Linked DNA regions of Macaca mulatta. The protein of the gene in region 1 interacts with the protein of each later gene in a pairwise test. Links are inferred from orthologs where the notes say so. Each region holds a gene or a part of one and is shown in the gene's direction. Other genes may lie near its edges.

Region 1 (7,252 bases):
TTGTCATAAAACATTTATATGCTTTTGTTTTGTTCATCTGTCTTTTGCTGTAGGCGTCTCAGTCATGAACCTGGTGATGGGCAAGGAAAAGATATTACTTTTTCTCCCCTACATTGGACAAGGGGAGTGTGATCTAATGGTAATAAACCGGAGGGAACTTAGCAAGGCTAATTTGTTCAGATTCTTCTTGGCATCTCTGTGTCTTCAAAGATAAGGATGTTTCTTTCCTCTGGGAAAGGATACTTCTAGAATAAGGGTCTTATGATCTGCTTCAGGGCAGAAAGATGCAGAAAGGTGTGAGAGTGAACTTCCTGATCCTGCTGTTTTCTCAAATGCCAAGAATCCATATTTTGGGGCTGCGTGTCCTGAAACTCCTACGTTGCCTTCCAACCACTGCATTATAGAACTGAAAGACTGATGAATGTTGAGGTTAAGATCCACATTACCACTTTGCAACATGTCTACAAAAACTTAGTAAAACTTTCGTGGCAGCTTAAGTAAGGCGGGAAGCTCATTTATGTACTCTCCTTGAGCTCTCTTCCATTTTGATAGGTGTTAGACCGTGAGAACTGCAGAACCCTCATCATATAACAACTCCTCCCAAATCTCTGCACTAGAGACTTGGCAAACTCTAGCATGCCTTCTAGCAGCTTACGGCAAGGTCCATACGATGACTCAGCTCTACTTAAAATGCCAGCTAAGGAAGCCCAATGCTGCTAGGAGAATTTACTTTTTGTTCCAGTCAAAACTTGGTAACAGATAGGCTCCCGAATTCCTTTTAGAGCAGTTACTTTAGAAATCTTACAGTTAGACCAGGTGCGGTGGCTCACGCCTGTAATCCCAGCACTTTGGGAGGCCAAGGCGGGAGGATCACCTGAGGTCGGGAGTTCAAGAGTAGCCTGATCAACATGGAGAAATACCATCTCTACTAAAAATACAAAATTAGCCAGACGTGTTGGTGCATGTAATCCCAGCTACTCAGGAGGCTGAGGCAGGAGAATCGCTTGAACCCAGGAGGCGGAGGTTGCGGTGAGCCAAGATCATGCCATTTGCACACCAGCCTGGGCAACAACAGCAAAACTTCATCTAAAAAAGAAAAAGAAAAAGAAATCTTACCGTTAAATTCTTTCTCTGCCCTTTGAGAAGCAAATCTACCACACAGAACTCTTTCTTCAAGGACTTGGGAGCTGTTTCTTTGAAATGCAAACATTCAGGGAGATAAATCTTGCTCTTTCTTTCATATGGAGCATAAGGACCAACTGAGCTGGGTGCTTCACTTCAACTATATCACCATGTCCTTCTGTCATATAGAGAGGCGAAGTTTCTCTTCCCTCTGGATAAGGGCCAATTAACAAATCCAGAGGGTCTAGTCACATTAACCTTCCTTAACATCACTCGGTATCTTTTCCTTAGCACACTCCACTTTAAAATGTCATCGGCTTTACTTTTGGGGAAGTTGAGTTCAGTTCAACAGGAAACAGTGCAGCTGTTGCCTATTGCAATAGTATTACCGAATAAAACCTGTCCTCACCACATTAACTAGTATCCAGATTTGTTGATCTTTGACAACACACAGATGTCTCCTGCACTCTACTGGCTTCAAGATCTGGTAAATGAGTTGAACACCTCTTCAGTTTCCAGCAATGTTAGGTGTTTTCTATATTTCTTTGATTTGATCATTACTATGGAAACTGGAAGAGAGGGAAAAATAATCAAATATCTGGCATAATATTTCAGTCCCAACACCTTCCATAAGCTGTTCCTTGCAATATAAGTGTATGGAATGATGAAAGAGGCAGTGTAGCATAACAGAAAAGATCATGAGTTTTGCAGCAAGAGTCAGCTTTGATTTGATTCCTTGCTCTAAATTTTTAAAATTAGCTTCTTAAACCTGAGAAAGAGACTAAATTTTCTGTCTCATTTTTTCGTTTGAAAATAGAAATAATAATGCCTACTATACAGACTTGGAAAAGTGAGATTGAACAAGAAAACATATGCAACATGTGGTTCCTAACTCATAGTAATTGTTCAATAAATAATTGTTATTTTGTGTTATTAATATCTGATAATTCTCAAAGAGATTTGTTTTCTCTGTCTCTCTGTCTGTTGTTACAACAATGCACCTCCTCATGCCATCCCTCATTTACCTGTCTATATATTTCCTCTATTAGGCGATGTCTTTCTTCTTAGGTATCATTTTTCCTTGTATTCTAAGCTCCCGCCAATTGAAAAGGTGGATATTCAGTACCTGTTTATGTAATTTAAAAAATACATGAATACATACATGAACAAAGTTACAACAAAGTTATGGTAAACTTAGAGCACCAAAACTGTAATAGTTTGCATAGGTTAAATTAATTAATGTCAGATTTAGTTGTGAGAGTAATGAAGGCAGCATAAGACATTAATTTATGCATTTTTTCTTACATTTGGTCTGAAACAAAGACTTATCTGCTATGCTACCTTTCAGTTTTCCTGAGTCAGCAGTCTCAGAAACAGGATCTAAAGGTACAAATGGAAAATTACCACAGCATAGTTTCATTTCCTGCTCTTGAATATCTGGCTGAACTACTTAAGCTTAATTTGTTAAACCCCAGTAAGTACCTATCCCACATGATTTGACTCAGAGATTCTCTTTCCTCCACAGGCAGTCATCTCAGGAGCAGAAAGAACAGAGCTCCCAAATGCTATGTCTATTCATGGGCTCTCAAGAACAATGGACTATCATCCTGATTTAGAAAATTTGGATGAAGATGGATATACTCAATTACACTTCGACTCTCGAAGCAATACCAGGATAGCTGTTGTTTCAGAGAAAGGTATATATATATATTTTTTCTAATGTATGCCTTTAGCGCTCCCATTTGAAAAGATCCAAGGGGAGGCTGGGCACAGTGGCTCACGCCTATAATCCCAGCACTTTGGGAGGCCAAGACGGGTGGATTGACTGAGGTCAGGAGTTTGAGGCCAGCTTGGCTAATGTGGTGAAACCCCGTCTCTACTGAAAACACAAAAATTACCCAGGCATGGTGGCACACGCCTGCAGTCCCAGCTACTTGGGAGGTTGAGGCAGGAGAATCATCTGGACTCAGGAGGTGGAGGTTGCAGTGAGCCGAGATCACGCCCCTGCACTCCAGCCTGGGTAACAGAGCAAGACTCCATCTCTGAAAAAAATAAAAACAAACAAACAAACAACAAAACAAAACAAAAAGATATAAGGGGAGAAAATTTGAGAGGCTTGTGATGTGTACATTTTTATGGATATACTTTTAAAGGGCTTCAGATGTCAATGAAGATAATTTGAATGCACCCTAAACTTTTTTTCATGAAAATTATTCAGTGACTAATTATTAGTATTTAAATTAATTATGTCTGATGGCAGAAAATACAATTTCTATTTTATATAGATATAGACATTTCATCAGTGAGGAATCGGTAATAAGTGGGATAATACACAAAGATAAAGGATTTCCATATGAGTGACTTGTTGCTTGTTTGATAGAAAGGCTAGATTATTGAATGGAGGCCAGGAAACTTAAAGAAGTATATATATGAACAACATGTTTTTTTGTGGTAAGAGATTAAATTGTTTTTAAACAAAAAACAATTATTGGTATACCAGTGAAGGAAAATATATTAATATATGGTGGATAAAAACATCCCATTGGCAGGACATGAGTCTTAAACAAAAAGTAAACGAAATGAAATAGAAGGGCTTTGGAGGATCTCTGTATTCACAGAGTGGGTGATTTCGCCTACTCTATGTGACACTTCTATGAAATGTCCTGACAGCTTAGTCTCACTGGAAAGCAGAAATACATTCTGGTTATGGCAATGTTAATACAAAATTAGTTCCCTATTTTCTTTGAGAGAGAGATAGATCATTTGTTGGTTTTGACACCAGAGTTTGCTTTCTTCTGCTTTCTGATTCTTCACATTGCACAAATATTTTCCTCTCAGTACTGATGTAATTCTTTTCTTGGGCAACCTATTGAGGAAGGGTGGAAAAAGTGGGTGAGGCAAGAGGTAGGGAGACATGTGCATGTTTATGCATATGTATAGGCAAACGGTATCCTGTAACAACACACCTATAATGTGCTAGCAGTGGCTAAACGAGGTGCTTTTATACGTGTTAGCTCATTTAATTCCCACAATAATCCTTTGAGATATTATTACCCCAGTTTCATAAAGAGGAATAAAAAACAACAAAGGGAGTAATTTGCCCTGGGTCATGCAACAAACATATGAAAAGGGAAAATTACCCTTAGTAATCATTGCTCTCTTCCCAACATTAAGCTATTTCCTCTAAGAATCAGTGGGATTTCAGGGATCCTACTAATGTCGTGACCTGTAGATATCAATGTGGAGCTGAAATTAGGAGCATACAGATATCAAGGCAATGTGCTGAAATTATAATTGAAGAAGAGGTATTCTTACTAGTGGAGAAAAACACAGCGAATCCTTGATGACTAGGTAACCTAGGCAGTGATTAATAATTCACTTTAAAATTTGCCAGTATTTTTTGTTATTGTTGTTTTGTGTTCTGTTTTTTTTTTTTTAACAGGGTATCACTCTGTTGCCCATGCTGCTCTGGAATTCCTGGGCTCAAGCGATCCTCCTGCCACAGCCTCCAGAGTAGTTGGGACTACAGGAGCTCACCACCATGCCCAGCTAGTTAAATTTTTTCTTTCTTCTTTTTTTTCCTTTGGTGGGGACAGAGTCTCCCTGTGTTGCCCAGGCTGGTCTTGAGCTTCTGGCCTCAAGCAATCCTCCTACCTCTGTCTCCCTTCTGGGATTACAGGTGTGAGCCACTGTGCAAGGCCAGATTTTTGATGAACTGTAGAACTGAAGTGCCCCACCTTCTGTCATTCTCTTTCTTTATTCCATTTCTGCCCCCTCTGGCTCCTCAGGATCTTGTGTTGCATCTCCTCCTTGGCGCCTCATTGCTGTGATTTTGGGAATCCTATGCTTGGTGATACTGGTGATAGCTGTGGTCCTGGGTACCATGGGTGAGTATTTGGTGGAGAAGATCAACAACAACAATAACAACAACAGACAATTTAGTAAGCAATTATTATGTGCCAGGCACTCTTTTAAGGGCTTGACATGCATAATCTACTTTAATTTGTATGTAATCTGGTTTTGTCTGTATTGGGTTGGAGCTGTTAATGCCCATTTCACTTATAAAGGGTGTGAGAGACTGAGAGGTTATTTTTCCTTTCCAGGGTTATAAACTAGTTAGTGGTGGGACCATGATTAGAAATTTAGGCGATCTGTCTAAAAAACTCATACTCTTAACTACATTGCTCTCCTACCTCCCTTGCATAGCTGGTTTCAAAGCTGTAGAATCCAAAGGATAATAAATTAATGGAAGGAAACACATGGAGCTGAAGAAGAAAGTACAATATGGTGCTGTCTTCCTAATGAAATAAATTCACTAAATAGACATTAAGCTGTTTTTATGAGTCATACTATTTAGGGAACTTATTTCTGATCTTTAATATAAACACCTTTGCATAGACCAGAAATTTCCTGAGGCACTTGGTCTTAAGTCGGTATTTTGTAATGGATGAATTGTTTTTTAGATTTTATATCACATGCAATCTGTTGTTAAACACCTTCAGAGAGTCTTCATGACATTCCTTAATTAGTCAGATGCACTTAGTCAAGTGCATTCTATGTTATAGGTACTGGGCAGTTTCTCAAGGACCTCTCATTTTTAAGTAATAGAAGAAAGGTGAAAGATGTTGCTATTTCAAATCTGCCATGGGTCCAGTTAACTCTATGACATTTGCCTCTTGCTGCCTCCCTCGTTCTATTTCTTCTTCTCTACATTCTTATTTCTTTTTAACTATACCTCCGTTATGAAAGTTATTTATTTCTTTTCATCTATCCTATCAATCATCTTTACTTCTCCACAGCAATATATCATCTATTTATCATTAATCAATAATGTATTCTTTTATTCCAATAACATATGGGTTTCGGGATTTTCATTTTCAAACACAGAAGAATGACTTTTTTTCTGTCACTGTTATTGTTGGGATATGAAGCTATTTGGAGACCCAATTCAGGAAGAAACTCATTGGAGAATGGCTACTTTCCATCAAGAAATAAAGAGAACCACAGTCAACCCACACAATCACCTTTAGAAGAGAGTGTGACTCCTACCAAAGCTGTCAAAACCACAGGCAAGGGCATAGTTAAAGGATGGAATCTTGATTCAAGAGGGTTAATTGTTGGTGCTGAGGCCTGGGGCAGGGGTATAAGGAAAATATGCTTAGATTCAATGATTGTACATTTAAGGCAAGCACACATATTAGTATTAACTTAGTGTAATATATCCCTGTCATATATACAATAAGGTGAAATTATAAGTACTCTATGCACTTGGCTGAACGGTTCTAAATTGGACTTTATTAATTTTTAAAATCAGTAACCGATTTATCACTGGCTATGTGCTTAGATCTACAGGAGATCATATAATTTGATACAAATAAAAGAAAAGTGTTCTCTCCCCTTACAGAATTGAGATTTTTAATGCGATACAGTTAGAATAGAAAATATGACATTAGAAAGGAAGAATGACAGGGAGAAAGGAAAGAAGGGAAAATGTTGCCAAGAATAAAGAAGCTATATTAAAAATATACAAAAGAGGTAGACCTAATACACATGTTCCTGAAAACTCATCAAATTTGTTTAATCATACAATTTCATTTACTTAATTACAATTCTATATACACTTGACCTTTACTTCTAATTGCATCATAATTGACTATGACTTAATGTTTTCACTTCAGTTTTTCATCTCTGGTCCCATACCTCCTCACTATTTTTATTAAGTAGCTAATAACATATAAGAGAGAGAGTATGTAATATGAATAACTGACCTATACTTTTTTCATTTGGAAAGTCACATTCTGAAGTAGATCTTACATCATAAAATAAGTTAAGTAGCAAATGAAATTGCTGTGTACCTCAATGATTGATTGTGAGTGGAATTATTTTAAGGAGTTATTAAGGAGAAAGGTAGTTTTGAGCTAAATTAGAAGGAATAGAAGACAAATCAAGAAAAAAAGGATAGTTGGCTGCCTAAAATACTATTTATAGCTAATTCATTTTTAAATTCTAAATGAATAGGAAGATTTGAATGTATTCTCATCTGTAAAATCATATCACTGTAGTTTGAATTGAAAATGAAATATAATAATGGCAACTCATTGGTTTTTTCATAAGTGTCCTTAAGATGAAT
Region 2 (7,316 bases), on another chromosome or scaffold:
TATGATGGGCAAGTAGAGGGAGCTCCTAGACTACTTAGCCGTAAGTAGGATTCGGGTAAGCCTGGATTCTGCTGAAGGAATTATTTGTTGAACATAGTGGTTAAGAGTGGAGGCATGAAACCAGACCGCCTAGATTCAAATATTACCTCTACTTCTTACCAGCTATGTGGTCTTGGGCAAAATATCTAACTTCCTTATGGTTGGGTTCCTTCACCCAACCATAAAATGGAAATATTATTACCTATTTTGTGAGGATTAAATTAGCTAATACACAGAGCACCCATAACAGTGCCTGGTATATATAGTAATCACTCCAAGTGTTAGTCTCCATCCTTCTTGTCCTAAGGCTGAGGGGGAGACTCCAGGCACTAAGGGAGTCTGTCATCACAGCAAAGAAAAAGTCACAGAAACTCTACAATGGATGGCCAAGAAATCCCAGAGGTAGGTCTTGTATCTGGAAGGGTAAAACCCAGAAGACATCAGGCAGGAGCTATAAGAACATGTGAATCAGGCACAACTGTGGACACAAAAGCAACAAAAACACAGCGAAGATTTCCAAACAAACCAAGAGGTGCTCCCAGGCTGGGGAAAGTGGGCCACAACAGTTGGCACCCTGTGGTGGTGGTGGCTCAGGAGGCATACTACTAAGCTGCCCTGCACAGGGTGAAGTGACCGCCAGCACCCAGCGGAGCGGGTGGGATGGTAATCAATACCTTCTCACAAACAATCATGTTTCTTCAAACTGGACAGCCTAGAGATGCATGCCAAGCCCTTTTGGCCAACCTGGCCCTTGATGCCAGGCGCAGCACTAGTGATTTACTTTATACCAGCTCAGTTCCCAGGGCAGGGCTTTTATCTTTGGTGCCATGGAAAGAGCTAATGTGAGTGTATATTTTTATAGAAAAGCTCCATAGCTCTCTTTATATCATTAATCCAAAAGAAGGTAAATCACCACCACTCTGGGAAGTTCTAATTGCAGATGCTTTAATATGAGAGGGCTCACCACTTTTTTCTCATTTTCCGTCAGATCATAAGCTCCTCCACTAAACTATAATCTCTCTTAGGACAAAAACTACAAAATCTAGTCGTGTGTTTCATTCACTCCCGGGCCTAGCAAAAACAAAAATGTTTTTAAAAACAAAGAACTAATGAATTGGCCTAATTAACTGGTGCTTCCAGGCTCCTTTCTCCTGCTGCCCTTTCTTCTGACTTAAAATATTTCAGAATTTCATATCAGTAAACAGCTACGTGTGGGAGTTCCCCAAATTTCTGATGCTCAGAGTGACAAGTCCAGTCTAGCAACACATTTATCTTGAGCAGAGAAATCAGACTTTCCTCCTAGTTCCTTCCACATATCACCCAGCTATAATAAATTATAAAAACAGTGATTGGCTGCTTCAAATTTCTACCCTGCTCAAAGTCAACAACACAATTACACCCATGTGCACATAGGTAAGCCACATAGGCAAACACATCAGCTTAGGTTAGTCCTGTGAATGTAGTGGTTTAAGAAAGAACTACATTTAACGACAACTGGAAGGATGACCAGAGCCATCCCTAAATGCTAGAGACAAGGAATACTGCAGACACTGCCCACGCGCTGTCTGACTGGCAGCACTGACACTCGGCAGCATGATGAGGCACACGTGCCGCCCCTAGCCAACTCCTCACCCGCCTGGGGACTGCTTGGGGCAGCTCATAGTGGGAGCCCAGGGGCCGCTAGATTGAATCACTTTTCTATTTTTGGAGTAGCCTATAGTCCCCTCTGCCTCTGGCTTACAAAGCCAGAGAAGGCAGGATGCCTACTCAGAGGAAAAGACAACATGCCCTCTTGACTCTTTCACTGCCAAAACGGGGCCAAGGCTCTGAGGGTCTTCTTCTCATGCAAGCATCCGTGTTCTATAAAGCCCAAGCTAAATGAAAACCCCAAACTCGACTCTGTAGTAGAAAGCACAAAACTCAGTTTCCATGCTTCGTCCTATTTTGACCCAGTTATGGAGCCCATGTTCTAGCTGACCTACACAACAAATTCTCCACCTTCGATGGGAAGAGCTCATTCGGGCCTGTTCCTAACAGAGGGCTGAAGGGCTGAAGATGTGACTTGTGAAGCGTGGGTGGCATTATGGAAGTCAAAAACCAGGAACGGAAGTTGCCTGGCAAGAGACTACAGTCATGAGGCTGGGAGGAAGGCAGGACTCAGGAGTCCCCAGGTGCCCGGAATTGCCTCCCAGATCCCAAGAACGCTCTGTACACAAAGTCGTTCGTGGCCCTTCCAGGCCAAGACTTTCTCATTCAGACTCCTCAAAATTAGAGCTGTATGGGACTCTAATTTAGAGCACATCCAATTCAAATCTTTATTTTTAAGGATAAAGAAACTGAGGCCCAAGGTCACATCGTGAGAGAGTGGCAAAGGATGGACCTAAGCCTAGCTCTACGGACTTTAGTCCAAGACTCTTCCTTGTAAATCCCACAGGATTCCAAGCATCGTTCCCTTCCGGGTTTTTCTACACCTATGACCCCACCTTCACCTACCCAACCCTTCCAGCCTTCAATTCTCACCCTATTACCCGAACTCCACAAAGCTTAGTGCCCGCCCCAAGCAAGCTCACTGCAGAGGGGATTCCTCCACGTGCTTCCCTCCAAACCTCCCACCCACCCAATTCCTCCTTTCAGTTCCATCCTGAGTTACTACGGGACCCCGCCCCGCCTCCAAAATTGCATCCTCCTTCCTCGCCTGCACCTTACCCCGACACAGGGGCCCCGCCCGCCCGGGAGGCCCCGCCCCTCGCCGTCTCCCCACTTCCCTTGGCGGCTGCTCTCACGCCCTGGCCCCTCTCACCGGTAAAGCCGCTTAGTGTGGAGGACTTTTGCTTCGGGCTCGCTGCTCTCCCCTGTGGGGGGGCCTTGGCTCATGGTGCCCGGGTCCGGGGGCAGCTCCCGGTCACAGGCCCCCGCCACCCACCACTACCACCACCACTGCCGTCTCCGGCCGTAGCCGCAGCCGCCGCCGCCGCCGGCCCTGCTCGGCCGCCATCGCTGTGAGGCGGCTGCCCGCGACAGCTCCTCCTCCGCCTGGCAAATCTCGCGATGGCAGCCGCACAGTTGCGGACCAGTGGCCTGCTGCTACCAAATCTCGCGAAACTCGTTTTCCCTCCCGGGAAGTTGCCAGAACTAACTCTGGGCAGCATGGCCTCTTTCCGGCTTCTCCAAACCCTTGCGAAAAACTTTATTGGCAAAGCTATCAGAGAACTGACAGTGTACCCACTGAGGCGGCCAAAGCTTAACTGGATCAGGGCAGGTGAGCTTACAGCTAGGAGGGTGACTGCTTTGTCCCACAGTGGTCATTTGGTCCATCCTTCTGCCCCTTTCCCGCCTCCCCGTTTGAACCAAGCCTCTTTCAGATTACTGGTTAGAGTGACTCCAGCTTTCCCTTTTCCCCCATAATTTAAACAAACAAAAAGTGCATGTGAAAGTTTCCTTGGAAAGGGCCGAGCATCACATAGGAGTAAAGCCCTGGAAGAAATGACTTGTACAAGCGTCTTGGCCCTTCAGCTCCCCTCCCAAAGATTTCCAGCTTGCATATCTCTTACCACCCAGTAACATTTATTGAACTGCTGTCTTCCAGCCACAGTGCAGGATTCTAGACACAGAGAGGTGAGCAAGCTAGACACTATCCCTGCCCTCACAAAGCTCAAATGACTTTAGGGATAAGGACTCATAGGAATGAGAAGCTAGTCCCTCACGTTTCTATCTCCTGATCCTCACATTGGATATCAGGGCAGGTGGGCTCACAGCTAGGAGCGTGACTGCTTTGTCTTGTTTTAGCTTAAACCTAAGTTTAAAAGCAAGGGGTTTTTTTGTTTGTTTTGTTTTTTGTGTTTTGTTTTGTTTTGTTTTTTGCCTGTGTACGAATTGTAATGAGAACATAAATTGCCCTTCTACCGCTATGCTCTTGGCTTCAGCCACCCATCTTCTTTCTGTTCCTGAAACAGCCTAAGTCTTTCCCATCCATTGGTCTTTCACTTGCTGTTCCTCTGCCTGTAACACTCATACTCCTGATTTCCCATCAGGTTTCAGCTCAAATATTACCTTACCAAAGAGGTCTTTCCTATAAAAATTGTCTAATTGATTTAGTTGCTAGGCTTCTTCATTATCTGTTACCCCAATAGAACATAAGCTTCTCAAGGGCAGAGACCTTGACTGTCATCTTGTTCTCCTCTGTGTCTGCCTAGAATAGTTCCTAGCTAATAATGGTGACCAGTAAATATTTACTGAATGAATAAGTGTACAAATTCCATCTCTGGGTATCCCAGCCTACTCCGAGCACCCTTTGGTGCACAAATCCACTTTTCTCCCTCTGCTTTCCTGAGCTGGGAGCTCCTACACATTCCAGTTGCCTAGAATGTGAACTTACCTCTTTGCCCAGCTGCATCCCAACTTTCGGAAAGAATGACGACATCCTCCTCTAATGCTTTTTTTGTCGGCAGATTCAGCAGGGCGGGGCCTGCCCCTTTAATCTGGGCCCCACCTGCTCTGGTCAGACAGGTTTTGAGACACAGGTAAAGGGAGGGAGACAGAGAGAAATACTTGCAGAGCCAGCAGGTAGCTGGGCAGCTCCTTCCCGGACAGACGGACAGACGGATGGACGCTGGGGACCCTCCACTCCATATGGAAAGTAAGAGGATGTCCTGGGTCCAAACTACAAGGTTTGGAGGGCCCTTGAGATGAAGGAAGGGAATCAGTCCCATCCAGAAGCAATGAGATGAAGGGCAGCAGGGAGGGGAGAAAGACAGGAGAGAAGGCATACAAAACAGTCATGATCAGACCTAAATGCCGGAATAACAGATCCAGGCCCTGCAGAGATGGATGAGGTGGGCTAGTGAGGAGTTTGGGAACTGACCAAGTACCAATGAAGGAAGAGGGTGCCTGCAACTGCCAGCTTTTTGGGACAGATTAGTTGGCAAATCACTGGTCTCACCTGGAATGCAGGAGGGTTCCAAGCAGGGATATGCAGGGAGAAGGGGAGATGGGACAGTGGAGGGGAAGCTTCTCTGTCTACATACAGCAAGATCCTCGGTAGGAAAGAAACTTGGCAAAGTTCTAGACACCTCTTCTGCCTCCTGTTCCTGCATTAGGGTGGCCATGACTCCAGGGGTTTTGGTGGAGGGGCATAGAAGGCGTGGGTGGAGGCTGACTGAGGCCACAGCTGCCAGGGCCTGTGCCCCTTGACTCACCCTCTCCTGTTGGATGGCATTTGATGTCGAAAGGGTGCCTCCATTTCGGCTGCTCACTTCCTTCCCTCCTCCCTCTGTTTCAACGTCTTCCTCTGTACCAGTTTCTCCCTAAGGCTCCAGAAGGGGCCAAAGCCCATGAAACCAGTTGCCCTGGGGAGTATGAGTTCTGTCAACCTGTCCTAACAACTAGAAGACAGGGGTTTCTGACAGAGCTTTCCTCTGCTCCCTGCAGGATGACTTGACATTGTAGATCCCAGAACTGAGGCCCCAGGATGACAGAACAGGAGACCCTGGCCCTGCTGGAAGTGAAGAGGTCGGATTCCCCAGAGAAGAGCTCACCCCAGGCCTTGGTTCCCAATGGCCGGCAGCCAGAAGGGGAAGGTGGGGCCGAATCCCCAGGAGCTGAGTCCGTCAGAGTGGGGTCTTCAGCTGGGTCTCCCACAGCCATAGAGGGGGCTGAGGATGGTCTAGACAGCACAGTAAGCGAGGCTGCCACCTTGCCCTGGGGGACCGGCCCTCAGCCCAGTGCTCCGTTCCCGGATCCCCCTGGCTGGCGGGACATTGAACCAGAGCCCCCTGAGTCAGAGCCACTTACCAAGCTAGAGGAGCTGCCCGAAGACGATGCCAACCTGCTGCCTGAGAAAGCGGCCCGTGCCTTCGTGCCTATTGACCTACAGTGCATTGAGCGGCGGCCCCAAGAAGATCTTATCATGCGCTGTGAGGCAGGCGAGGGCAAGTGCCGAACCTTCATGCCCCCCCGGGCCACCCAGCCCGACCCCACTGAGCGCAAGTGGGCTGAGGCGGTGGTGAGGCCGCCTGGCCATTCCTGTGGGGGCTGCGGGAGCTGTGGAGACCGTGAGTGGCTAAGGGCTGTGGCCTCCGTGGGAGCTGCACTCATCCTCTTCCCCTGCCTACTATATGGGGCATATGCCTTCCTGCCGTTTGATGTCCCACGGCTGCCCACCATGAGTTCCCGCCTGATCTACACACTCCGCTGCGGGGTCTTTGCCACCTTCCCCATTGTGCTGGGTGAGCCTGTGAGAAGAAAGGGGAGATTGGGAAGTGGACTTGAGGAGGGCAGGGCCTGCCTGCCATGGGGAGCAGGAGGGTTTCCCTTCACTTGGCCTGGGCCCCTCAGGGTCTCCCACCCCCTGCCAGTCTGCATGCCCATATCCTCCCAGGACCACTTCCACCCCACTGTGTAGAGGCTATGCACTGCCCACAGTGAACCTGCCCCCAGCTTACTGCCTCTTGCGCCCTTACCCTGCCTGTTCTGACCCTACCCTGTGTTTCCCAACTCCACCCAGGGATCCTGGTGTACGGGCTGAGCCTGTTATGCTTTTCTGCCCTTCGGCCCTTTGGGGAGCCACGGCGGGAAGTGGAGATCCACCGGCGATATGTGGCCCAGTCAATCCAGCTCTTTATCCTCTACTTCTTCAACCTGGCCGTGCTTTCCACTTACCTGCCCCAGGACACCCTCAAACTGCTCCCTCTGCTCACTGGTCTCTTTGCCATCTCCCGGTAAGTTGGGGCAGGGGGTGGGCATGGGAGAGGGAATGGTGCTAGAGAACCTAGGCATCTGAATGTCTGGAGAATCAGGGTCAGGAGCTTTCCGGATTCTACCCTGGCCCAAATGTGTGCCCTGGGGAGATAAGCCCACCTTCTCTCTTGTACCTTACTTCAGCTGGTCAGCAGATGGAAGCTGATTTCAGAGATACATATAACCATGTCAAACAAAAAGGCTTTCAGGTGTCATCTAGATCTATGCACCCATTGCAGCCACTCCCGTGGCAATCTGGTCAGGTAGCTGTTTTGGTCTCTAGCTGAACACCCCCTATGACCAAATGTACAACTTAAAAATAGATATATTTTTTCAAAATAGAGAGAAGGCTGGGTGCAGTGGCTCATGCCTGTAATCTCAGCACTTTAAGAGGCCGAGGTGACAGATCACTTGAGGTCAGGAGTTTGAGACCAGCCTGGCCAACATGGTGAAACTCTGTCTCTACTAAAAATACAAAAATTAGCTGAGCATGCTGGTGCACACCTGTAGTCCCAGCTACTCAGGAGGCTGAGGCAGGAGAA
Region 3 (7,157 bases), on another chromosome or scaffold:
CTACAGAGGCTTCTGTAGGCTTACCCCAGAATTTCTTCTGCAGCATCTGAGGATTCAGTGTTCGGAAGAGCTGAATCAAAGTTCTACCAGACATCATTACATTCTTATTCTTGTGTGGTTTATACTGAGCCAGGCCAGGTCTTGGAGAAGCTCTTCAGTCATGGCCAGAGGACACTGAGCTGTTATCTCTTTTATAGCATTGATTCCTACTGTCATGGCTTCTCCAGAGTTCTTGTCAGTAACAAAATTGTTGGCCACAGTCATAAGCAATGATTGAATAATCGCTGGGTGTACTAGGTGATGAGATGCTTGTGCAGCAAACAAGGATCTTTGTTACTTCTCTTTGGTGGGCTGCAGAAACCTTTGCAAAAAGTGACAGAAGTTGAAGAGGAAGAGCTCATGAATTCCCACCAATCTGGAGATGAGGTTCATGAGCATCATCTTCACTACCAACCTCTCCTTACAGCATTCAAGCTGCTTTAGTAGTTTTTCTGCAAAATCTTGGGGATCATGAATCAAGTGAATAGCTAGAAGTTAAACACCTCTGGTTTTTTCTTCTTCTTTTGTTTCTTGAGCACTTTTATTGCCTTTTCCAATGTTTTCTTGTTTTGGGAACTTTTCTTCCCTATAGCATATTGTGCTAGCAGGTCTCTTGCTGTTGGTCCGTCATCCTCAGATTCGGAGTCACTGTCCTGTATTTCATCTTCATCTTTCCCAAGAAAGAATGTCATAGCAGCAACTAATATCCTGGTGACCTTAGAGAAACAGGCAGTTGTGATAACACTGACAGTTTTGGTATCATTCCAGATGTTCCTTCTGTAGTGTTCAGTCATAACATCTAAAGACATCTTGGCTGTGGTTGCATTGCTATCTCTTAACATGGTGTACATGAAATTTTGCAACACTACATCCACTTTATTCTTGTGTTTTGTGTTTGCATTCTTGATATCAGTCACGATATGTGTGTATAAAGTCTTTTGCAGAAGCTTATCATGGCAACATAGAAGTTCAAAGAAGAGCTCTGGTAGGCTTGATGGATTGATGAGATTCTTATTTCTCAGCAAGATCAAAGCTTTGCAAAACGTCATTCGAAGATCTGGATCCAATACGGTATGATTACAGGACAGAAGATCTTTCACCACTTGAGGAAAATTACTTAGATACCCTGTGTAGCAGAGACTAATCTGTAACAAAGCACAGGCTCTTCTGAAGTTTCTTTCTCTCCTATTATTCAGATGCACATATCTAGGATGTTCTGTGCCATAAACATTACCAGTTCTGCTAGTTCTTTGCTGGGTTTATTTGGTTGCAATTTGAAAATCTCCACACTGGATGTGTAGTGATTATACTGCTGTAGAAACTCCTCGATGTAGGGCGGTGGGTCTCGCTTGATCAGACTCTGTAACTGCGGCAGGTTGCTGGGCAGCTTGTTGTTGTTTCTGCTGGACATTTTGGCTGCAGACTAGCTTCACGGCAAGCAGTTTTTTAAAAACTCAGATGGCCAGCAGCCGCCAATCCCTACCAGCTGAGGCTTGAACTCCTGCTTCCAGGTATGACTGGAAACAGCACTCAATCTATTAATAGAGTTCATTTCTGACCAAAATCTTAAAATAATTTGCAAAGGGATTTGACAAATCAATCCTTAGAAAAAACCTTTTAGCATGGAATTTTTCAAATATATTTAAAAATTAGAAGAATAATGCATTACATGGCTTCAATAATTGCCAATACATGGTCAATCTTGGACAAGTCCATTTTTAAGTTCATCTGAAGAGTAACTAGTCATTAACATCTGAAAAAGACAAACGAAGAGAAACTTTAATAGTTACCTAACAGAGGTATTGTAGATAGCCCTGAAACAGACTCACAATTTTGTGGGCATTCAGAGAGTGACAAAGGTACAATTTCAAATCAGGGTAGAAAGGATGGCTTAAAATTAATATTATTGGGTCAATGGGCTACAAAATTGAGAATTGAATTTAAATCATTTACAGCATATGGAAAATAAATTTCGGATGGATTAGAGCTCTGAATGTAAATTTAAGCCTATAAGAAAATTAGAAAAAGTTATAAGGGAATTATAGATTAATTATTTTGGTGCGAAAGTCTCCCCAAGTCATGTAAGAATGATAAATCTGATTACATGAAAACCTTACGCTTCTACACAGTGAAAAAAAAATTAAAAGACAAGTCAGAGACTGAGAGAAACATATGTGACTCATAAATCAGACCAAGGAGACAGGGCGAAGACATGGAGACGTGAAGTAGGAGGTGTGCTCAGGAAAATAGTTAAATGTCATCCACGTACAGGATAAACGGCTTCCCACGTCATGTCCCAGAAATCGATTAGTCGATGGGATTTGGGTGATTGCTTTCTTCTGTTTTTCCTGAATTTTTCTCTTTTTTATTTCTTTCCCTTTCTTCTTTCTCTCTTTCTTTTTTACAATGATGGTGTGTTTGTAATCGACATTTTAAAAATTCTATAACAATTAAATTTGGGGGCGGCCTTCCCTTGTTTCCCGTATGGAGTGTTGATGTTTCAGCAGCTTTATTTGGAGTTTACAAGTGGAAGCACCTGGGTTTGGGGCTTCCTTTGTGTCCCCAAGACACCTATTGCAGGAGTGAGTCCTAAGCAGTAGAAAACAGATGCATGTGCAGGGCTGGATGAAGCACTATGGAGCCTGTGTGAGAGGAGGCACGGGCGCTAACACAGGAGCGCACTTCCTCATTCCGCTTCTTCTCATCCTCTCTCGCAGTGCCATTGTCATCACTCATCCCATCCGGTCATCCCAAGTCACACGCAAGAGTTCGTTCCCGGCGCGCGCGTCAGCTTGACTCGCGCGTCTCCACGTCCGGGACCCGCAGGGGAACGCCGCCGCCCCGTCCGGTCGCTTGTTGTGTTGTCATCACGTGGCCTGGGCGGACCCTGACGTCAGTGGCAGGGGAGGGACAGCGCAGGCGCAGAAAAGGGGGCGGGGGACTCGGCTTGTTGTGTTGCTGCCTGAGAGCCTGAGACGGTCCTGCTGCTGCCGGAGCCCTGCCAGCTGTCCGACGATGTCGTCCCACCTAGTCGAGCCGCCGCCGCCCCTGCACAACAACAACAACAACTGCGAGGAAAGTGGCCAGTCTCTGCCGCAGCCGGCCGGCCTCAATAGTGAGTGAGGGGCCGAGGGCTTGGTGAAGGGGATGGGGGAGGAGGAGCCGCCCCGGCCGCCGCCACCGGCGCGGCGCGGGAGGCGGGAGGAGAAGGCAGCTCATTGGCCCAGGCCGGTGATGTCCGGGTGACTGACAGCTCCCGTCACCTGTCAGGAGGATGGGCGCCTGCCTTGCTCCGGGCCTCTCTGTTGCCTCCTGGGGTCATGGGCCGGGGCCGTTTGGGTTCGCGGTCCGGGAGCGGCGCGGGTAGCGCGGATCCCACTGGTGCTGGGGGTGGTCCCCAGCAGCGGAGCCGGGCGGGGCGGGGGCGGGCCTGGGGGGCGGGGAGGCCAGGTGGGCGGAGCGGGCCGCGGAGGGGACGTGGGCCGGAATGGGGACGTGCGGCGGGGACGCCGGGGGATGGACGCGCGGGAGCGGGGCGGGGCGGGCGGATGCCGCGGGACGTGTCTGGGATCAGGTGTGCGGGGCCCGCGGGCGGGCAGCGTCTGGCGGGCTCGGGAGCCCCCAGCGAGCATTCCTTTGTTGCCACATGTTTGTCAGGAAAATTCATTTGCTGGTCTAGGGGCTTCAGTCACGTGTGGGGTGAGAGGCTGTGCCTTGCTTCTCCTTTTTCCTTTTTTAATTTTTTTTTATTAGCTTTCTCGAAGTTGCCCAAGTGATTTTTTTTAAGCGATGAGGTTGTGCGCCCAGTAAACCTGAGAGCAGCCTCCTGAACCACCCGGGACTGCACACGTCAGGGAGTCTGGGGCCATGCATTTAAAGAAACGGAATTAAAAACGCACTCGGGCAATTGAAAGTTAACGGGCAAGGCTGATGGACAACCCAGGCCAGGGTCTTTTCATAACATTCCACTGCCCAGACATCTTGTCCTCAGATTGTTCCTGGTCGTGAGAACCGGGAGCCTTCTTGGAAGGGTTCTTGCCTAACCTTTCTTTAATTCAACTCTTGGGAAAGAGATAATGGGGGTAGCGAGCATATGGCCAGATGAAGGCTTTTCAAAACCGCTTGGATGCTTAAAGGTCATGCAGTATCTTTCGTAAGAGGGAGATGCTTCCAGCGTGGCCTGAAGATTATTCTAGGGAAGAGAGTTTCAGCCGTCACCAGGTAGCAACGGAGTTTGGAGATTTTAAGACGGATGCTGCTGCTCCAGGTTTTTTGATGGGTTAATACCCAAAACCTTTAAGTGTCCTACATTCCAGAATGTAAGACGGTTATGTTATTTCCCACAGTAAATTAGGATGAATGTCTGAGTCATTAAACGTTACTCGTATCACATATTCCTATGCAATTTTAAGTTATTTGCCCATGTTTAGCATACTGTCTTAGGTTTGAGAATGGGAAAAACTTCAGAGCTAGCTAACTGCCTCCTGTTGTTTACCTGTAGAGAAACAGGTCTAGAGTTAAGAGCCTGGTCCAAGTTCACAACTGGCTGGGAGCAAAGCGGAGGTTGTCATGTTCAGCCTGTCTACTGCTGTTTTCAGGGAGGGCTTTTTTTTTTTTTTTTTTTTTTTGAGATGGAGTCTCGCTCTGTCTACAACCTCCACCTCCCAGGTTCAAGCGATTCTTCTGCCTCGGCCTCCTGAGTAGCTGGGACTACAGATGCTTGCCACCCGCCCAGCTAATTTTTATATTTTTAGTGGAGACGAAGTTTCGCCATGTAGTTGGGATTACAGGCGCCCGACACCAACCCAGACTAATTTTTGTATTTTCAGTAGTGAGGGGGTTGGTCTCTCACCATGTTGGCCAGGCTGGTCTCAAACTGCTGACCTCACGTGATTAGCCCGCCTGGGCCTCCCAAAGTGCTGGGATTACAGGCTTGAGCCATCACACCCGGCCTCTTTTCAGGACTTCTTTTCAGTGGTCCAGAACCTCCTGCTGGTCTGTGTGTCTTATTTTGTCAGTGTGTTATTCTACCTAATTCACAAAGGTGGCCCACCTTTCTGTTTCTTTTTAGTATTCTGTTTCTTAATTGTGCAATTTTCTTATGAGTGAAGATACTTGGTAGGTGTACATGATTTCACTGAAATCTAAGGGATTTTCATCTTCCTTTGACCCTTTAACAACAACAACAATAAGGGCTGAGCCAGGCAGGGCGTGGTGGCTCATACCTGTCATCCCAGCACTTTGGGAGGCCGAAGCGGGTGGATCACTTGAGGTCAGGAATTCGAGACCAGCCTGGCCAACATGGTGAGAGACCAACCCCCTCTCTACTGAAAATACAAAAATTAGCTGGCCTGTCGGGCGCCTGTAATCCCAGCTACTCAGGAGGCTGAGGCAGGAGAATCGCTTGAATCCGGGAGGCAGAGGTTGCAGTGAGCTGAAATCGGGCCACTGCACTCCAGCCTGGGTGACAGAACGAGACTCTGTCTCAAAAAAAAAAAAAAAAAAAAAAAGGGCTGAGCCATATGTCATTGTTTATCTTGGAGTCTGACAGACCTATGAGGAGTTTGATGTCTTTGGCCAGTCGGTTCCTGCTTGGTTGACATCAACTCTTACAGAGGTGGAAGTACTCAGCCTGCATGGGATATCAAAATGTTGCTTTGGGAAATCTAGATAGAAAATATTTTACGTGGGATAGGGTGAGCTTTCTGAAAAGCTTTTAGATAATGCCATATTTAATTACTCCCCTCTTTCCTCTTAACTCTGTTCGTTTTTTTAGCTCATTACACAACACTGCACTGAACAAAACAAGAAGCCTCATTGATTCCTTGAAGTGATTTTTGGGCATTGGGCAAAACAACTTATTCAGGCGCCTAGTACTATCCAAATTGCGATAAGTTGAAGGACTTTGTTGGGTAAAGTTGCACAACTGAAAAACAGGAGATGAAATGTACAGATTTTCTTGGGTTTGGGACTTTTTATCTTTGGTTCAGGGAACAAAGCAGAGTTTCAATGGCAAATTATTGAAATATTTGAATAATGAAGTATTTCTGTGATTTTTTTTAACTTTACCGCTGTGGAGAGACTGTTCACTTTCATTAAAAATTACAGGGCAAATACCCAAACTCCTTCCAAGTCAAAAGGATGTTGTCCAGTTTGTTTTATTGTTAAGAAAACTATCAACTTCCTTAAGAATATTTGAATAAGAGTCAATTGGTCGAATAAGGAAAATCAAAGTAGTAGTATAAGTCGTAGTGTAATTCTTGTTATTGAGAAATACAGCCTTTTTTTTCTTTTCAAATTTTTTGTTTGTTTGTTTGTTTGTGTTTTTGAGACAGGGTCTTGCTCTGTCACCCAAACTAGAGTGCAGTGGTGCAGTCATAGCTCATGGCAGCTTCGACCTCCTGGGCTTAAGTGATCCTCCTGCCTCAGTCTCCTAAGTAGCTAGGAGTGCAGGTGCACGCCCCCACACCCAGCTAATTATTTTATTTCTTGTAGAGTTGGAGTTTCACCTCGTTGCCCAGGCTGGTCACTAGCTAACTTATTTTTTGTAGAGATGGAGTTTCACTTTGTTGCCCAAGCTGGTCACAAACCTTTTTTTTTTTTTTTTTAAATAGAAACGTCTTCAAGCACGATGTCCTTGCTTTCCGGTTTATGAAGAGTGCTGTTAAGACCTTCATGTATTGTCACTGCCTCATAATGTTTTGAATACCTATGTAATTTGTGTGTAAATACATACTTCTCTGCAAAAAGACCAACTTTTTTTTTTTTTTTTTTTAAGAAGAATGCCAGTGACTCTTGTTGGCCTGGTCTGGATTCCTTTCAATAATGAATGAAAAGCTTTGAGGAAAGAATGTAAACATAATGAAATTTGAAAAGAGTTACATGTGGGCCTTTAAAAGTTAGGGGGAAAAATGAGGAGAAATACTCTTCATTCTCTCTTCCCCTTGTCCCAAAGCTCCTCTCCTCTTCTTCTTGAGAGAGGATTGAACTAGTGATTATAAAACTGTAAAGATTATGCAACATACAGCAATGAGTATAATCACAATTATTGGACCACCCTTCACGATCTATTATATTAGAGAATGGAGAAGCTTTCACAGAAGTTTCTCTGAATCTCT
Region 4 (7,103 bases), on another chromosome or scaffold:
GGCTTCAAGGCCAGGCACTGTGGCTTACGCCTGCAATCCTAGCACTTTGGGAGACTGAGGTGGGTGGATCACTTGAGGTCAGGAGTTAAGAGACCAGCCTGACCAACATGATGAAACCCTGTCTCTACTAAAAATACAAAAATTAGACAGATGTGGTGGTGGGCACCTGTAATCCAGGCTACTCAGGAGGCTGAGACTACAGTGACCCAAGATCACACCACTGCACTCCAGCCTGGGTGACAGAGTGAGACTCTGTCTAAAAAAAAAAAAAAAAAAAAAAAGGCTCCAGATGGGAGATGGCCTTGGGTGGGGGGAAAACAAGTACATAATTCCCAGAGGACAGTGAGATTCACCCAACAAGCTAAAGTGTGAGAGCTGATGGGTAGGGCTTTGGTGCTCCACCTTCCTGGTCAATTCCAAAGACCCCCTTTCTCGAATAAGGACTTTAGCCAAGGTATCAAAAATATATTCAGCCACTTTCATTAAAGTGGAAGTAAACCTGATCGATCCTTTAACAATATCAGACAATATCTGCTAAGGCCTGAAGCAACTAAAGGAATAAGATCCATAACAAAAGACTATTAAAAGGGTCTAATTATTCCTTGCACCAGCATGTAATACTCCAGTCCTTCCTGTAAGGAAGCCGAATGGGAAGAGCTGGTATTTTGTACAAGATTTGAGAACTGTCATTCAACACTGTGATCCCCAGACACCTGGTAGTACCAAAGCCCCATCCTCTTTTGACATCTGGAAGTGAGAGACTATGACTGACTCATGCAGTGCTTTCTTTAGTATTCCAGTGGACCCAGAGTCAGTATTTGTTTGCTTTTACTTGGGATGACTGTGAGCATATCTGGTCTATCAGGAAATATTGTTGATGAAACTGCTGCTTCCATCACAGCTCAACAAAAAGCTACTGACTCACTGGCTGAGGCTGCACTGGACAATTGCACTGCTTTCGATTATTAGCTGAGCAAGCAAGTATATGTATGGTGGCAAATACCTCTTGTGCATATACCCTTTCCATGAAGTAGAAACTCATATGGGAAAAATTAGAAGCCACTTGGCTACACTATTCTAAAGAATTCTCCATTTAATTTTCTTCATAATACTTTTGGTTGACTCCCTAGAATAGGTTCCTTTTTCCATTCTGGCACACACATTCTTTTTCATTGTAATACTTATGTGCACTGTACTTGGTAACATTTTTAATAGAGATGGGGTCTTTGTGTGTTGCCCAGGCTGGTCTTGAACTATCAGGCTCAAGTGACCCTCCTGCCTTGGCCTCCCCAAATGCTGGGATTACAGACAAGAGCCACTGCCTGGCCAGTATTACAGTTCTACTATTGAAATTACTCATGTTATGCCATTTATCTCTGGCTGTTTTACTTTTTTTTTTTTTTTGAGACAGGATCTCACACTGTTGCCCAGAATGGAGTGCAGTGGCCTAATTATGGCTCACTGTAGCCTCTACCTCCTGGGCTCAAGCAATCCTCCCACAGCGGGTGCCACCATACCCAGCTAACTTTTTTGTATTTTTTTGGTAGAGAAAGTGTTTCGCCATGTTGCCCAGACTGGTCTCCAACTCCTGGGCTCAAGCGATCCTCCCGCCTCGGCCTCCCAAAGTGCTGAGATGAAAGGCTTGTGCCCCACCTTGGCCTCTGGATGTTTGTTACTTCTCAGAAAACCAAGATCATGGCACTCCAAAGACTAGAGACGATTCAACAGGCAAGAGCAGCGATGAAAAACACGCAGCGACTGAGGTCTGGCTCCGCGGCTGTGACCTCGGTTCAGCTTCTGAGCGCCTGGTTCCTTGGCGGGAAGCGTCCTCCTTCCCCACAAAACCAGGCACGGCTGTTTGGGAAGCAGCGTTTCTGGGGCGCACCTCGATACTTGGATTTGGATCAACAATGCTTTCAAAAAGGAAGACTTTTGATCAAAAGCGGGAAATGAGAAAACTTGACTTTCCTCTGAAGACTGTGCGCCTTTTCCCGGTCCCGAGGCCGCGAGGCCCCCCTGCCAGGCTGGCTCCCACGGAAGCCCGGCACCCACCCGGCCTGGCCCAGCGCCACTCCGCCGCGTGACCCGCGGAGGCCCCAGCCCACCCCCGGGGACCGCCCGCCCCACACCGCGTTCGCCCCCCGGAAGCCCCTCGCCGCAGAGGCGGACGGCGCCTCTCCCGGGCCCCTGGGTCTGCGTCTCCCTCCGGGGACTCTTCCGACCCTGCTCGAGCCTCCGCTTCTTCCTGCGGGCGGACGCCCCAAATACAACGGGCCCCGCTGTTCACGCAGGGGCGCCCCGGCGGGGCGGGCAGAGACCCGGGGGCGCGGCCCCGTCCCGAGACGCTCAACTCCGGCCACCGCTCGCAGCTCCCTCCCCGGCGCAGGTCCCGACCCCACGGGGGACCCCACGGGCCGTCCCGACCCTACGGGCCGCAGCGGCCGCTTCCCTGCACGTCCTCACGCCCCCCGCACGGACGCTGCCAGCCCCGCGCCTCAGTTTCCCCACTCGCAGGATGTAAAGACCGGCCCCGCCCCGACGCGCAGCGCCGTCCCCGTGATAGCGAGTGCCCAGGGCGCCCACCGGCCCCACCGCCCCTTTAAAAGGACTCGGCCCACCGCCTACCGCGGCGGCGACCTCGCAGCCCACTCGTCACGAGGCCGCGGCGCCCCGCCCGTTCCGGCTCACCTCAGGCGGTCGCTGAAGCCCCAGCGCCTGCGCGCCCCTCGTCCCGCCCCTGTCCCCGCCCGCGTCCCGCGCACCGCAAGCCCCTCGCCCACCCCCCAGGACCCGCCCCGCGCACGCGCCGCACGTGCCACACGCACTCCACGCCCGTGCGCACGCGCAGGCCCCGCGTCGCGGCCAATGGGCGACGCGGCCGCAGATCCGCCTGGCCCCGCCCCGCCCTGTGAGTTCCTCCCGCCGGGCGGCGGGGCTGGGCTCAGTCCAGGAGCGCAGCTGGCCGCGGCGCTCCGCTTTCCCAGCGCCCGCAGCTGAATCGCAGTCCGCAGCCCGCAGCCCGGCGCGGATTCCCATCGCCGCAGTCGCCCTCCGGCGCCATGTCGCAGAACGGAGCGCCCGGCATGCAGGAGGAGAGCCTGCAGGGTGAGGCCGGGGAGGCGGCGCGGGAGCCAGGGGGCGCGGGGGGAAGCCTGGAGGAAGGCCAGAGGGAGGCCGAGGGGGCGCCAAGGGAGGTTGCCCGGGAGGCCTGGGGGACATCGCGGGCCGTGCGAGGCTGCGCCACCCGCCCCTCCCGTGCCCACCCCTCCTGCGGGCGTGCGGAGCCCGGGGCATGGGGACCCCACGTACTGCCCGGGGTTCGCGGCCTCGCCGCTCGGGCGGGGGTTGGCTTGGACCCGGGTCGGACCGCACGGGAAAGCCCCGATTCTCCAGCTCCGCCAAGTTGGAATTCCACCTGGAGGTGAATCTGCGTCTCGCAGTTGGTCCGAGAAGCCTCAAAGTCCACGTTGCCCTCCGCGGTCTGTAGTTCAGACCCGTATTGGTTTTAACGACCAAACACCAAGGCGTGGCCAGTGGACTGTTATGTGCTTTAATTTTGTTATTAATGTTTATATCCGTGGTGATTTAGGATTTCCTGAAGGGTGAAGGCGGAGATGGGAGGGGGTTACAGTGTTTTTAAAATATGGCATTTAATGGGCATGTTCCAGTTCTACTAGAGGGTCGTTCCAAAACAAAGCTTTAAATTACTTACGGGTTAAGAAAACACAAGCACAAGGACGCTGCCAGTGCCGCACTCAGTCGTTACAGGCTGCTTAATGCCCGAGTAGAGGCTCGCCCTGTGCCCTTGGCTAGATTCGCAAGACCATGCGTTCGCGCAGCGGGAAACGCAGGCCCGGGGTGCAGGACTTGCCCCACGCACAGCCAGGTGGCGTGGAGACCCTCCCCACCCGGAGGGTCCGCGTCAGAGTCCAGACAGCATTTGCTCAGGGAAGCGGACATTGAAGCCGCCTTCCCAGGGTCCCTAGGGCCCAAGCCTGGGAGGAGGGACCTGGTGGCAGCTGACCTTTGTGTTCTCTGAAGCCAGAGTTTACTAAGCAAAATTAGCATGTAAATAAGCTTGGGAACGGGCTGCGGAAACCTCTGACTGTGAACTTTTAATCTTCATTGAGATTTTTTAAAACCATGTATCACATAAATTCAGTGAGTTGCTAATTTTATTACAAAAAAAAATTTTACTAGGCAGGACTTAGTTACTGTAATATATTAAATATATATATATTTGAACACTACAACCATTTTTTTTTTTTTTTTTTTTTTTTTTTTTTTTTTTTTTTTAAGAGACGGGGTCTGTGTTGCCCAGGCTGGTCTGAACTGGGCTCAAGCGATCCTCCCGCCTCGGCCTCCCAAAGTGCTGGAATTAATAGGTCTGAGCCACCGCGCCTGCCCTAGAACCATATTTTTAAAAATCCTGTAATTCGGATTTTTCCTCTTGAAATTTAAACATTGGTTATTACTATTTTGGAATATATTAAGGGGTGTTTTCCTGACTTTTGTTATAAAATCCAAGGGATGTTTTTATAAACTCTTTGCCATAAAATCACCCATTTTCCGGTTGTGTTACTCCTGACATTGTGCGTTTCACTGCCTGGCTGGGGATCTGGGCGCTGGGAGGTGGAGGGGGCCCCGGGGTGGCTCAGTCCTCTCTCCAGTATGTAACTTACACAGGCTGCTGAGTCATTGGCAGTGCAAGACGGCCAGCGCCGGAGTTGCGAGATTTTTGTTTTTCTGTTTTGTTTATTCTGTAAAAGGATAGTTACCCGCGGGGTGGATCCCATGTAGGCGATTCCTTGGGCCGCCCTGAGTGTCCGCGCGTCAGGACGGGGCCACCGTGGGCTCGGCGTGGGCGGGGTTGGCCTGTCCCGCGGGCTCCAGCCGCCTGCAAATCCGGCGCGGAGCGGTGGCTCGCCCAGGCAGCGCTCACCTCTGCCCCTCTGATTTCACTGCCCCTTGTTTACCTCGGAACAGAGAACTGTGGGAGCCTTGCAGCCAGACCCACAGATGGAAGCAGCGAGCACTCTCTCTGCCTGTACCCTCTGGGGCCAGCTGCTTTTCCTGAGGAGTTGACGGCAAAATGGGCTGATTCCGTTCCTTTCTATCTCTTGATCATTCTGGCTATTGTTGTTGACCCGCAGGATGCTCGTATTCGTCCTTTTTTTCCTCTTTATTTTTTACGAGCCCAGTCTTACTTTGTCGCCCAGGCTGGAGGGCAGTAGCACAATCATTATCAAGCTCACTGCAGCCGAGAACTTGGCTTTTTCTCCTAGGCATGTCACTGCTGACATGCAGGAGAGGTAGGATTCTGTGATGAGACCGGGTCACGGTTGCTTGGCGTCACTTCCTTGAAGGACCCACTGTCTTCACCAGGAGGGCATCAGTTCAGTAAACTGCTTGCCCATTTACTCTGGAGCTTCCGTATTTAATGATCCAAGCCCTCAGCTCTTCACCTACTGCTGTGTCTGCAACTGGCAGATGGTTCTCTTGTCAGAGGCAACTCACCATGGGTAAAGTTGTAATAGGGGAAAAGATGCTTCCACTTATTTTGGAGCGGAATTGTAGCATTGTGCGCTTTGAGACCTGAAGGGGTTGCAGACATCTAGATTCTTGTCCAAGACCTGCATTTCATAGATGGTCACAATGAGGTTCTAGAGGTGGAGTGAAAGATAAGGCTGGCAACTTAAGGAGAAGCCAAGGACTCTGCATTAAGCACCAGTGGGATACCTGGAGCCCAGATGCCTGAGGCTGCGTGCCATAGGCCAGGGTCCTGGAGGAGAGCCTGGCAAGGGGGGAAGGTTGAGGGAAGTGAGCCGTTAGAAGCCAGGGACCTGATTTACCTACCGGGCTGACCTGATGCTTGAAATATTTTGTCAGGCAAGTCACTTTTGTTCCTCTCCACACTAACCTGAGAAGCTTTAAAGGTAAAAACAGCAATTTCTTAGAGCCCACCTCCTCTGGGGAAGAAGCCCTTTGTATGGTTTTGGGGGTGCTAGTTCCCTCTGGGGTTCACAGCGCCTCTGCTTAAGGCTTTTTTTCTGGGATGCTGCCTCCCTCTCTTCTGACATTTATCCCAGAGCTTTTTCAGTCTATTTTCTGGATTCCACCCCAGCATCCCAAATAGTCACTTTCAGAGTGGGCTGAGGCTGGGTTTTTGGAAAACAATGAAAAAATACCACAGGTGATTCTCCCTTCACAGCCAGAGTTGAGATTGTCATCCCAGGTTAGGGCATAGGGTGGCCTTGAGAACTTGGCCCTGTGTTTACTCCACGTGGGGCTCATGGCTGTGGCCAGTGAATCCATGTTGAAGAATGGGACCCAGGGAGTTGCCCTGGGGACATACAGAGGGCAGTGAATCGAAGGCATTCCCCGGAGTCTGTCACTGGAGAGAGAACTGCTTTGGGCACCTAGAGAAGCTGAATGTCAGATGATTTTCTTTTCTTTTCTTTTCTTTTTTTTTACATAAAGCGAGAATAAGACATGGATTAAGAACTCTTGTTGGAGTGTTTTCTGTCTCTGAGATAGACCTATCAGTTTTCTTTTTGTAATGTGATGTAAATATAGTCTAGGCTTTTCAAAATCTCATCTGCCTTGATATAGAAGGGAGGTAAGACTTACTGGCTGTGTGTCTTGTTAGCACTGTAAATTATAACTAAGTAAGGAGGGGGAGGAACCTAAGGAGAGGGAGGTAAAATGAGATTAGGAAGGAGGGCTTTTGTTGCAGCAGCCACAGCAGCACCTTTCTTTCTGGGGCCTAATTATGCTACAGTTATTTGAAGTAAACTACTTGTGATTATGAGCAGGTTTTCTAAGGTCATTAAGCAACCTCACTCCCCATCTTTCTTTGAAAAGGTGAATGATCTGAGTGGAGAACTGTAACATGTGAGTAGATACACAGCATGCTGCATTCTCCAGGAAGTGCCTTTCCTACCCCGTTGCTGTAGGTTAATAATAAAACTCCTGTCCCTTAGTAAATCATTCCTGGGAATACAGCTTTTGGGCCCAAAGTCATTAGCCATAGACAATCCGGAATGGGTTTTTTTTGTTTCCTGGATTTTTAGGATCTTTTCTGGGGCGATTTTTAAAAAGCA

What was found. The genes of interacting proteins can lie anywhere in the genome.
Region 2: the proteins of CLEC7A (region 1) and TMEM79 interact in binary tests that used the Homo sapiens proteins (3 or more experiments, as listed by UniProt). The two-hybrid records come from large-scale screens. The link is inferred for Macaca mulatta from reciprocal best matches to the Homo sapiens genes CLEC7A and TMEM79.
Region 3: the proteins of CLEC7A (region 1) and BNIP3L interact in binary tests that used the Homo sapiens proteins (3 or more experiments, as listed by UniProt). The two-hybrid records come from large-scale screens. The link is inferred for Macaca mulatta from reciprocal best matches to the Homo sapiens genes CLEC7A and BNIP3L.
Region 4: the proteins of CLEC7A (region 1) and BNIP3 interact in binary tests that used the Homo sapiens proteins (3 or more experiments, as listed by UniProt). The two-hybrid records come from large-scale screens. The link is inferred for Macaca mulatta from reciprocal best matches to the Homo sapiens genes CLEC7A and BNIP3.

Annotation. Positions count from the first base shown.
Region 1 is NC_133416.1:10,421,554-10,428,805, forward strand, and holds the start of CLEC7A (C-type lectin domain family 7 member A), read left to right. Parts: upstream 1-2,540; 5' UTR 2,541-2,689; coding exon 2,690-2,819; intron 2,820-4,910; coding exon 4,911-5,009; intron 5,010-6,053; coding exon 6,054-6,191; intron 6,192-7,252.
Region 2 is NC_133406.1:110,642,815-110,650,130, reverse strand, and holds the start of TMEM79 (transmembrane protein 79), read left to right. Parts: upstream 1-3,156; 5' UTR 3,157-3,298; intron 3,299-4,541; 5' UTR 4,542-4,675; intron 4,676-5,466; 5' UTR 5,467-5,506; coding exon 5,507-6,263; intron 6,264-6,541; coding exon 6,542-6,755; intron 6,756-6,913; exon of another isoform or gene 6,914-7,068; intron 7,069-7,316. Other genes in the region: nonsense-mediated mRNA decay factor SMG5, read right to left, coding at 2,840-2,913.
Region 3 is NC_133413.1:28,122,019-28,129,175, forward strand, and holds the start of BNIP3L (BCL2/adenovirus E1B 19 kDa protein-interacting protein 3-like), read left to right. Parts: upstream 1-2,997; 5' UTR 2,998-3,054; coding exon 3,055-3,154; intron 3,155-7,157.
Region 4 is NC_133414.1:144,069,652-144,076,754, reverse strand, and holds the start of BNIP3 (BCL2/adenovirus E1B 19 kDa protein-interacting protein 3), read left to right. Parts: upstream 1-2,943; 5' UTR 2,944-3,059; coding exon 3,060-3,105; intron 3,106-7,103. UniProt on the Homo sapiens protein: Apoptosis-inducing protein that can overcome BCL2 suppression. May play a role in repartitioning calcium between the two major intracellular calcium stores in association with BCL2.